Linked DNA regions of Macaca fascicularis. The protein of the gene in region 1 purifies or fractionates together with the protein of each later gene. This does not show direct contact. Links are inferred from orthologs where the notes say so. Each region holds a gene or a part of one and is shown in the gene's direction. Other genes may lie near its edges.

The links. The genes of interacting proteins can lie anywhere in the genome.
Region 2: the proteins of KLHL6 (region 1) and NUDCD3 purify together in Homo sapiens (affinity purification with mass spectrometry; 3 studies listed by BioGRID and IntAct, counting the BioPlex papers as one, with this or other methods). This does not show direct contact. The link is inferred for Macaca fascicularis from reciprocal best matches to the Homo sapiens genes KLHL6 and NUDCD3.

Annotation. Positions count from the first base shown.
Region 1 is NC_088376.1:95,416,564-95,421,610, reverse strand, and holds part of KLHL6 (kelch-like protein 6), read left to right. Parts: intron 1-1,874; coding exon 1,875-2,112; intron 2,113-5,047. UniProt on the Homo sapiens protein: Involved in B-lymphocyte antigen receptor signaling and germinal center formation.
Region 2 is NC_088377.1:85,927,433-85,932,479, forward strand, and holds part of NUDCD3 (nudC domain-containing protein 3), read left to right. Parts: intron 1-3,138; coding exon 3,139-3,282; intron 3,283-5,047.

The DNA of each region.
Region 1 (5,047 bases):
GACAGCCCGCAGGAAACCAGGAATTTTAGCCAGTAGGAGGACAGCCTTTCATAGGTCAGGACCAAGGAATGAGATGCCAGACCTGGAGGTCAGGAGGTGAGATCACGGCTAGTCCAGTCCTTGTAGCAGCCTCTCAATTACCCAACAGGTTATTGGGGCAGGAGAGCAGGAATTACAAATAAAATGAGGGGAGCTTCGGAGTGAAGGCTGAGGCCTGGTTCCCAGAACTGAAGAAAGGGTCACAAGGGAATCAATTCAGGGAGGCCAGTACTGTTTTCTAAGCATTGCCCTGCAACACCAAAATCCCCACTGAAAGAGGACCGGATAGACTGGTGCTGGAGGTTGTGCCTCAGCTGTGGGGAATGGGGTTTAGGGACAGGAACCACGGCTGATAGCTGAAGAGAAAGTTGCAGAGCAGCAAAGTTTGTCTTTGGTGCCATTGCCCAGATCCTGTCCTGCCAGCTTGGTGCTCTCATGGTGCCTCCAAGTTCCCTGGCTCACCCCTTCACCCTTATCCCAGCACCGTTCTGCTGTCCACACTGTCAGGGCCAGCCCATTGCCTAGGCTTTGTCCAGTCACACCTATCCCCACTCTGCTGACCCATAAGGAACTGCCCTGCCACAAACTTTATGGCCATGGTCCAGCCTCAAGATCGGAGGATGCAGAATTCACCGTACCAGGCTCCTAGGCACAGAAAACCAACCAACCAGCCAAAGACTGTTATGGAAAATTAGAGGCTGGGAGTTGGCTGGTCTGATTATTTGTGGCTCTTGGTTGGATTCACTGTTTGAGGGCTCAGTCTTTGCTGCTGTAACCTATTTGTCACCACCTATGGGCAGAATCGGAGTTCTGTAGTCTGTGTTAAATCAGTCTAATTTTGTAGGAAAATTGGCGACTCTGGCCATCTGGGAAATGGTGGCTGCCTCTCTGCCTCCCATCAGCACACCTATGGAACCTTCATCATAGAGCCCAGGGGATCAATGGAACCAAGAAGGGCAGCTCTTCCTTTTATAGCAATATCAATATGGCATCTACCGCTGCTCCTACAGGCATAATTAGCTGTTGAGGGGCGAGTGTGTGCCAGGTGCTCTGTTCACACCTCTACCTCATGACCTTATGAATGCTCACAGTTATCTGAGAGCACAGAAATGATTACAAGCAGTCTACAGAGGTTGTGTTACTTCTCCAAGGTCACATGGCCACAGGTGATAGAACGCTGGTACATTTGACTTTCGAGCCTCTGCTCTTTCAGCAGGGTTCAAATACCCATAGTATGGATTTCTTCACTGGTTCAAAGCTCTGAAAGGTCATTTACTGTATGTTGGAACCAGCCTTCCTCCCTCCCTGGCCACACCCTGATTCCTTCTAGTTCTTGTTTCCTAAGTCACTGAATGCTCGTAGGTCATCACTGTCCAGGATGTCTCTTCCAGAAGGCTGATGGTGAGCAAAGTCTGAGGTCTCATCAGGAAATTAAAGCCAAGGGGGAATGGAAAGTAGCCCAAAATGAAATTCCAGGATTTAAGGTTTCAGACTAGGCAGGAGAGGAAAGGCAGGAAGGGCATCTGATGGTACGTAGACCCCAATCTCTTAAAACAGCAGCAAAAACAGGTAACACTGATTGAGTACCTGTTATGCACCAGGCTCTGGGTGAAGCACACTCTATACATTATCCCATTTAATCCTCACAACACACGTATGAGGTAGTTACCTCTAATATCCCCATTATACAATGATGAAACTGAGGCTCAGGGAGGTGAAGTCACATGGTCATACCATGGCAGATGTGGGAATTGGACCCAGCTCCTAATGGCTCCATAGCCCGAGCTCTGAAACTTTGTGTTGTCCTGCCTTTATGTGCCCACATTGATTTCCAGATCATTTCGGAGCGCACCAAGCCCAGGATGCATGAGTTCCAGTCTGAGGTGTTCATGATCATCGGTGGCTGCACGAAGGATGAACGGTTTGTGGCAGAGGTGACTTGCCTGGACCCCCTGAGGCGCAGCCGCCTGGAGGTGGCCAAGCTCCCGCTAACGGAGCATGAGCTGGAGAGTGAGAATAAGAAGTGGGTGGAGTTTGCATGCGTGACGTTGAAAAATGAGGTCTACATCTCAGGTAAGCTAGGAGTCATGTAAAGCCACAGCAAGCCCCAGTAGCACTACATATGTTCCTGAGTGGCAGCCAGGCAACCATCCTAGAATTACTGTGAATTGGCAATGATCTGGCTCTGACTGAGACAGGATATGGACCCAGGAGCTCAGGTGGTCTTATCTTGGAGGGTACATTGCTCCTTAATAAACACCAAACTGAGCAGCATTGTGCTATTCTTTTCTTTTCTTTTTTGAGACAGAGTCTCGCTCTATTGCTCAGGCTGGAGTGCAGTGGCACGATCTTGGCTAGCTGCAACCTCTGCCTCCTGAGTTCAAGTGATCCTCCTGCCTCACCTTCCCGAGTAGCTGGGATTACAGGTGCCCGCCACCATGCCCGGCTAATTTTTGTATTTTTAGTAGAGACGGGGTTTCACCATGTTGGCCAGGCTGGTCTTGAACTCCTGACGACAGGTGATCCACGGGCCTCGGCCTCCCAAAGGGCTGGGATTACAGGTGTGAGCCACCTTGTCTGGCCAGCATTAATAGAAAACCTAGAGAGGAGGCAGACAAGTCCAGTCCTTCACGGAAAAAGAAGAGGGAAAGTGGTAAGGGTTTATTCAGTGTCTGCTATAGGCATAGGCCCCTGAGCTACGCAGTGGGAATTCAGTAATGAGTAAACACGTCTGCTCTTCCCCCAAACCTGACCCCTCCCATGTTTATTAGGTTGTACTTGGGTATACTTCAGTAGGACCCAATACTTTTTCATTAGGAAAATGTTTGCTTCAGTATTGATAGTTACTTTGTGTCTGTCTTTCCCATTAGACCTGAAGTTCCATGAGGGGTAACACTATAGCCCCTGTACCTAGCACTGTGCCTGACCTCCGGGTAAATGTTCAGTAAATATTTGTTGAATGACACAGTCTCAACCATCTTTACTGAGTAGTAGATACATTTATACTTTAATAACATTTAATTGTTTGCCTCTCACATCAGCTCTGTAAGATAGGGGTTTTTAGGGTAGGAGAAAACAGAGGCACAGAGAGATTCTTGAACATACCTAAGGTCGCACACTGGTAGGTGTCAGGCAGGACTTCAACCCAAGTTCTGAGCCTAACGACCACGCTCTCCCCATCACATCAAAAGCCACTTGGCTCTCCCTGGGACCCTAAGGAAGGAGACAAGCTTCCCTTCCCCTTTCTTACAGGCTTTTCTCGAATCTGAACTTGTTGAGAGGAAAGCAGCACCCCAGAGCATGTTTCCTCCAAAATCAAGGACAGATCGTCCTTTGGATGCATTCATATCATTGATTAGGTTCTAGCTTTCTTTTCATCTTGCAGAAATTTTTTTTAATTTTTTTTTTTTTTTGAGACGGAGTCTAGCTCTGTTGCCCAGGCTGGAGTGCAGTGGCATGATCTCGGCTCACTGCAACCTCCAGCTCCCGTGTTCAAGCGATTCTCCTGCCTCAGCCTCCCAAGTAGCTGGGATTACAGGTGTGTGGCACCACATCTGGCTAATTTTTGTATTTTTAGTGCAGTCGGGGTTTCACTGTGTTGGTCAGGCTGGTCTTGCACTCCTGACCTTGTGATCCACCCGCCTCAGCCTCCCAAAGTGCTGGGATTACAGGTGTGAGCCACCACGCCCGGCCTTAATTGTTGTAGAAGATCCAAACAACGCAGAGCAAGTAAAGTAAAATAGGGCAGTTTCTCTGTGCCATCACAATTCTATGGGTTTTCATTTTTTACAAAAATTATTTTCTATTTGCTCAGGGTAAATAATTTTAGCTGCTGTTACAAATCCTAAGTCTCAGTGAATTAACACAATAGTATGCAGGGGTCAGGGGGAGGACGGTCTGCTCCATTCAGGTATTCAGGGGCCTAGGATCCTGCCATCTTGTGACACTGCTTCTTCCTACATGTGGACTTGATTTAGGGATGAGAAAAACGCTGAGGGAGTTGAGAAGTCACACCTGCTCACAAAAGCCTCAGCCTGGAAGGGCCATTGATTTTGCTCACGCTCCATTGGCAAAAACTAGCGACATGACCTCCCTTACCCTCCCCTCACCCCGTCTAGGTGCAGGGGGCTGAGAAATGTAGTTTAGCTATGTGCCCAGGAGGGATCAACAGGTGTGGTCATCATAGTCAGTCTTTGTCACATATACTACACGTGTTATTCTCTCTCTTTCTTTCTTTCTTTCTTTCTTTCTTTCTTTCTTTCTTTCTTTCTTTCTTTCTTTCTTTCTTTCTTTCTTTCTTTCTTTCTTTTTTCTTGAGATGGAGTCTCACTGTTGTCCAGGCTGGAGTGCCATGGAGAGATCTCGGCTCACTGCAACCTCTGCCTCCCAGGTTCCAGCGATTCTCCTGCCTCAGCCTCCTGAGTAGCTGGGATTACAGGCACGTGCCATCATGCCTGGCCAATTTTTGTATCTTTGGTAGAGAAGGGGTTTCACCATGTTGGCCAGGCAGGTCTCAAACTCCTGACCTCAGGTTATCCACCCACTTCGGCCTCCCAAAGTGCTGGGATTACAGGTGCCCACCAACATGCCTGGCTAATTTTTGTATTTTTGGTAGAGATGAGGGGTTCACCATATTGACAGGCTGGTCTCAAACTCCTGACTTCAGGTGATCTGCCTGCTTTGGTCTCCCAAAGTGTTGGGATTACAGGCGTGAGCCACCGCGCCTGGCCCAATTTTTTTTGTGTTTTAAGTAGAGACAGGGTTTCACCATGTTGGCCAGGCTAGTGTTGAACTCCTGACTTCAGGTGATCCGCCCACCTCAGCCTCCCAAAGTGCTGGGATTACAGGTGTGAGCCACTGTGCCCAGCCCACATGTTATTCTTTTGTCATAAATTTATTGTTCACTTTTTAATGATACAAGCAACACCTGAAAGCATGCTTGTTATACACAGTTAAATCAACAGAAACTTGTACTTCAATTAACAATATCATCTGGACATGATGACAT
Region 2 (5,047 bases), on another chromosome or scaffold:
TTTTCCTAATTAGCTCTGTATTTATTTATTTATTTTTTTTACTTGTTTTCATCTGGCTGTTTTTTCTCATAAGATGCAGTCCTCAGTTATCTAGTAATTTTTTTTTTTTTTTTTTTACAGAATTTCACTCCTATTGCCCAGGCTGGAGTGCAATGGTGCGATCTCAGCTTACCGCAACCTCTGCCTCCTGGGTTCAAGCTATTCTCCTGCCTCAGTCTCCATAGTAGCTGGAATTACAGGCATGCAACACCACTGGTGCCTGGCTAATTTTATGTTTTTAGTAGAGATGTTTTTTTTAGTAGAGATGTTTTTAGTAGAAATGTGTTTTTCTCCAATTTGGCCAGGCTGGTCTCAAACTCCCAACCTTAGGTGATCTGCCCGCCTCGGCCTCCAAAAGTGCTGGGATTACAGGTGTGAGCCACCATGCCTGGCCCTTTTTTTTTTTAATACAAAAATATTTTTCTCCCATTCTCTTGAGTGTGGGACTGTATTGATGGGTTTGTCTACTGTGTGTCTGAAGTCTGCTCTTCCCACCACCACTGACAGCTGAGTGGATTGACCAGTCAGCTTTGCTTTACAGGACATGGGGTCTTGGCCATCCTAATGCTTGAGTGAGTAGGACTTCTCTTGACACACAGGCATCCACACTAGGTCCTCAGACTGCTGGTCAGTGTCTTTGGAGCAAGGTCCTCCATTCTTCTGTAGCAAACAGAGGGATTCCTGTCCCTTTCAATGGGGCATCCAGGGCCACAGCAGTTCCCACATGTGCCCCTGGCCTTGCTCCTGCCCTGCATACCTGCTGACTCCCAGCTAGAGCCCATGTAGCTGTGGCTTCTGGATGTCTCCTATGCCATAGAATTTGTCTCCTGTGTCCCTCCTCCTTTTGTCTTCCGCAGATTTGTTGACATCTCATCTGTTCCTGGCCTCCCTCTTCCCCTGTTTTCACTATCTGGGTTTTTTCTCTTCATGCCTTTTATGTCTGCAGGTCACAAGAGGTCAGAAAGTTGACTGTCTGTTCCCAGTGTGACATCTTCACCTGGGACCTCTGGAAGCATTTCTTGTCTGGTTTTCTACCTTGATGATTTGGTTCATTCCCCTGGGTAGGCAGTGTGAGAAGCTTCCCCAAATTTGGAAATTATGTTATATAGAGCTGGGTGGGAGAATTATATTTGTTAAGTGAGCTTGTTCTTGTGAAGGCAGGACCGAGGAGCCTTGGGCCCTCTGTGTCATGTTTCCATTGCACACAAGTTTATGGTTAGACATGATTTGGCCCAACATGTGTCTGGTTCATTTCAAGAGTGAGTGGATCTATTGTTCCATTTGCTCACGTTCCTCATGGTATTAGAAGGTCAGGAATGAAGCTCAGTTGCCTATTGTTCAATAGGACTAGCCAAGTAAATACCCTTTTCCATGGTAAATTCCCCTATGAAAGGTCATGCAAGTGGAATTGCGGTCTCATGAGAGGATGTTTCCTTGGAGTCTGCATGTGAACCTGGCAGAGCTGCCCATGCCTAACAGAATATCTTCACTGTGTCCTGCAGTGGGCAGCCTTCTGCCACCTTCTCCCCTCACTGCATGGCTCAGGAACTATCTTTCATTTAGAAACTATCTGATGGGCTGGATGTAGTGGCTCATATGTGTCATCCCAGCACTTTGGGAGGCTGAGGCAGTAGGATCGCTTGGGGCCAGGAGTTCGAAACCAGCCTGGGCAACAGCAAGACCCCTGTCTCTACAAAAAATAAAAATAAAATTAGCCAGGCATAGTGGCACTTGCCTGTAGTCCCAGCTACTTGGGAGGCTGAGGTGGAGGGATTGCGTCAGCCCAGGAGTTTGATGCAGCAGTGAGCTGGGATCACGCGACTGCACTCCAGCCTGGGCAATGCAGTGAGGCCGTGTCTCTTAAAGAAAAAGAAAAACTGTCTGACAGCAGTGACTCCTGCACATCATTTCTTCCATTTCCATTTTTTATTTATGAATATTTAAAATACAGGTAGGTTATGGTATTGTATTTCATTGGCAAATACTAAACTCCAGTTTGGAAAACCTATCAGTTTGGGTTGTCTTTTTTTCCAATCATTTTATAAGCATTTAATGAGTCACCTACCAGATGACATGGAGAGTAGCTTCCAAATTGTTTTTATTCCACATACCTATTAGAAAAAAGTTTTAAGTACTTGATCCCAGTGTCTTCTTAATGCATGCCTTATACAGATACAAAATGTAAATGGAAGTTCTGTTTTATTTCCTCTTCTAATTACTGACCTGTGAACCCCCTGGGGTACGCATACCCTGCTTTGGAGACTGCTGGCTGGAATACATGATATGAAGTAAAAGGAATCCTACTCCCAGCAGCTGCCAGTCCAGTTCTGGAGACAGACAAGTGGTGGGGTAGGGATAGGTGTTCCTAGGGCAGTGGGGAGGGCCATGGGGCCATTGTCTGCCTAGGACAGGCTCAGAGGGACGAAGGTGAGCTGAGGCTTTTAGAGGCTTGGTTTTGTAAAGAACCGAGACAAAATGCAAAACCATGTGGGGACGTTGGTGGTATAATGGTGAGCATAGCTGCCTTCCAAAATCAAAGGAATTGGTCTCATACTCTTGGATGAAGACCAGGCTATAGTCACCAGGCAGTGCAGTAGCTCACAGAAGGAAGAGGCGGTGCTTGTCTCTTGTACAACAGTCCTGGGGTAAGCAATTCAGGATGTGCAGCCCCGTCAGCTCTCTTGGTTGCTGTGGTCCAGGGCTGGGCTCCTGCATCTCCCAGGTAGCCACAAGGGGAGGCAAGGGAAAAATACTCACCGCTTGTCTCCTCTGCTTACTTTTTTGCGGTGACAATTGGTCTCCCTTAACTGGAGAAGGGAGAAGAAGATTGGGTCACAGCAGCTTCCACCATAGCACTTTATGTTACCAGTTATGCTGAGAAAGATTTTTTGGTGGATTTACCTACATGAGCTGACATCTGCAGGTTGCTCTAGGTATAAATTAGGCTGATACGGTTTTCTTCACTGAGATGCCTGGTGAGCCTGATGACAACGCTGTAGTGTGCAGTCAGGTACCTTGGAAACTGTCACCCCTCCCACTATACAGAACACCAGTGGTCACCCTGATAGGAGAGATGATTTTCTTCTGCTATGTCCTCAGGTCTCAGTGGCCCTTAGCAGCAGCTCCATTCGTGTGGCCATGCTGGAGGAAAATGGGGAGCGTGTCCTCATGGAAGGGAAGCTTACTCACAAGATCAACACTGAGAGTTCTCTCTGGAGTCTCGAGCCCGGGAAGTGTGTTTTGGTAAGTTTGGGCACCTGTGTGCAGGGTTCCCAGGTAGACGTCAAACCTGCAGTGATGCCCCTTTTGACCAACAAACCTGTTTACACTTAAGCAGTGAGGCTGTTAATTTCAGCTGCTAGGGCAGATGGGTTTTCCTGAGCATTTTCCAGACTGCTCAGAGATTGCCTCTGTGGGCACTTGAGCTTTGGCCCTTTGAGGTCTTGGTCGTTCCAAAGAGCTCCACTGTTATTACATCTAAGGCAAAAACAAGTAAATTGAAAATGAAAAGGTAGGTTGAATTTTTACAGATGCTACTCTGGAGGGTGCAGAGTTAATAAATTCAGAGAATCAGGCTCATTGACCAACTGGCTCTCCTTACCCAGCTGCTGGTTAGGCATTAGCTAAGAGTTCAGGACAGTAAGATTAAGGTGTGAATCCAAATGAACAGCTCGCATGTTACCAGTTAGCAGACTCACTCACAAATTGGGCTGCATGCCTGAACCAGATCTGTTGGTGTCTCACCTCCCTCTGCCCTATGAAAGCTTTGAACCCTGTCAGTGGTGGCTCTGTGCTGGTGCCCAAGTGGCGGTCACCTACAGATACATTGAGGCACAACATGTTCTGAATTAACTTGTTTCCTCTTTCCTCTTGCTGGGGTGCTTACAGGGCGTGGTAAAAGGGATAAAGGTGAAAAAAATATTAAGTCTGGACAAAAGTCTTTAGAATTTTATACAGATATATTCTTCATATGTGCAAAATATGCAATAAAGATATCTGTTTTGGTTGCTGTAAGACGTGCTTGACAGGCTTCTGCCTGGGCTTCCCTGGCCAGTGCTGACTGGCAGGGACAAACTATCTTTTGGGCCCACAGTGACTCTGTCCTGGCTGCCCTCATGCTCGGAGGGACATGCGGGCCAGGTACTGAAAGGAGGGTATTCTGTCAGTGCTGCAGGATCCTGAACCAACCTTAATTCCAGTCTTGATATCAAGCCTGGACGATGGAGTTCACTCTGGCTACACAAAGGTGGGGCCAACCTGGGCACAAACAGCATGCTCCTTGGTGCTGCGGTGGCCTCAACTGCTCCCTCTCCTAGTGAGCGTTTCATCCTAAACAGGGCCTCCTATTTAGGCCCTACGCGAGGCCGTATGTGTGGTGTATAGGGTTTCCAGCAGTGGGGCTAGGACTGACCCATCCCAGTTCAGACTCTCCTGGCCACCCAGGGCCTACCTCTGCTGATGGCCAGCGGCAGATGACAGTGGTTCTTGTTCTAAATCTCACCCTGTGTGCTCCCCTGCCTGTGGCGTTCAGTAGTCAAAGACCAGAGAAGTGTTCTTCTCCTGCCTACAAATACTGTGATGATCACCCCATCACCCAGCAGTTCAGTTCCTCATCCCCTGACCCCTGACATATAAAACCTATGCATTAATTACACAGCCTGGAGCCTTTTTCCAAGCTATGGGCTCCTGTGACTACTACCAGTTCCTTTCCTTTATGTCATATTTGACTTTGCAGATGCCGTTATGGCCTCTTCCTCACTTGAGCTTCACGTGGTTGTGGAGGTATGAGAGCATGAGTGATGCACTAGCAGTACTGGGGCTGGCTAGCTAGACCTCTGAAGGTGCAGCCCTGGCTGCCTGGATTGCACTAGTGAGCCCATGATCCTGGGGTTGCCTTCTCCATGGACTGAGAGGTCATGACAGCCCTGCCTTAAAACACTGACTTGATTCTCCTGCCTTCTGTTGGGTGAACTCAGTGCAGAGCATGGAGCAGGTCATGATGCTCTCA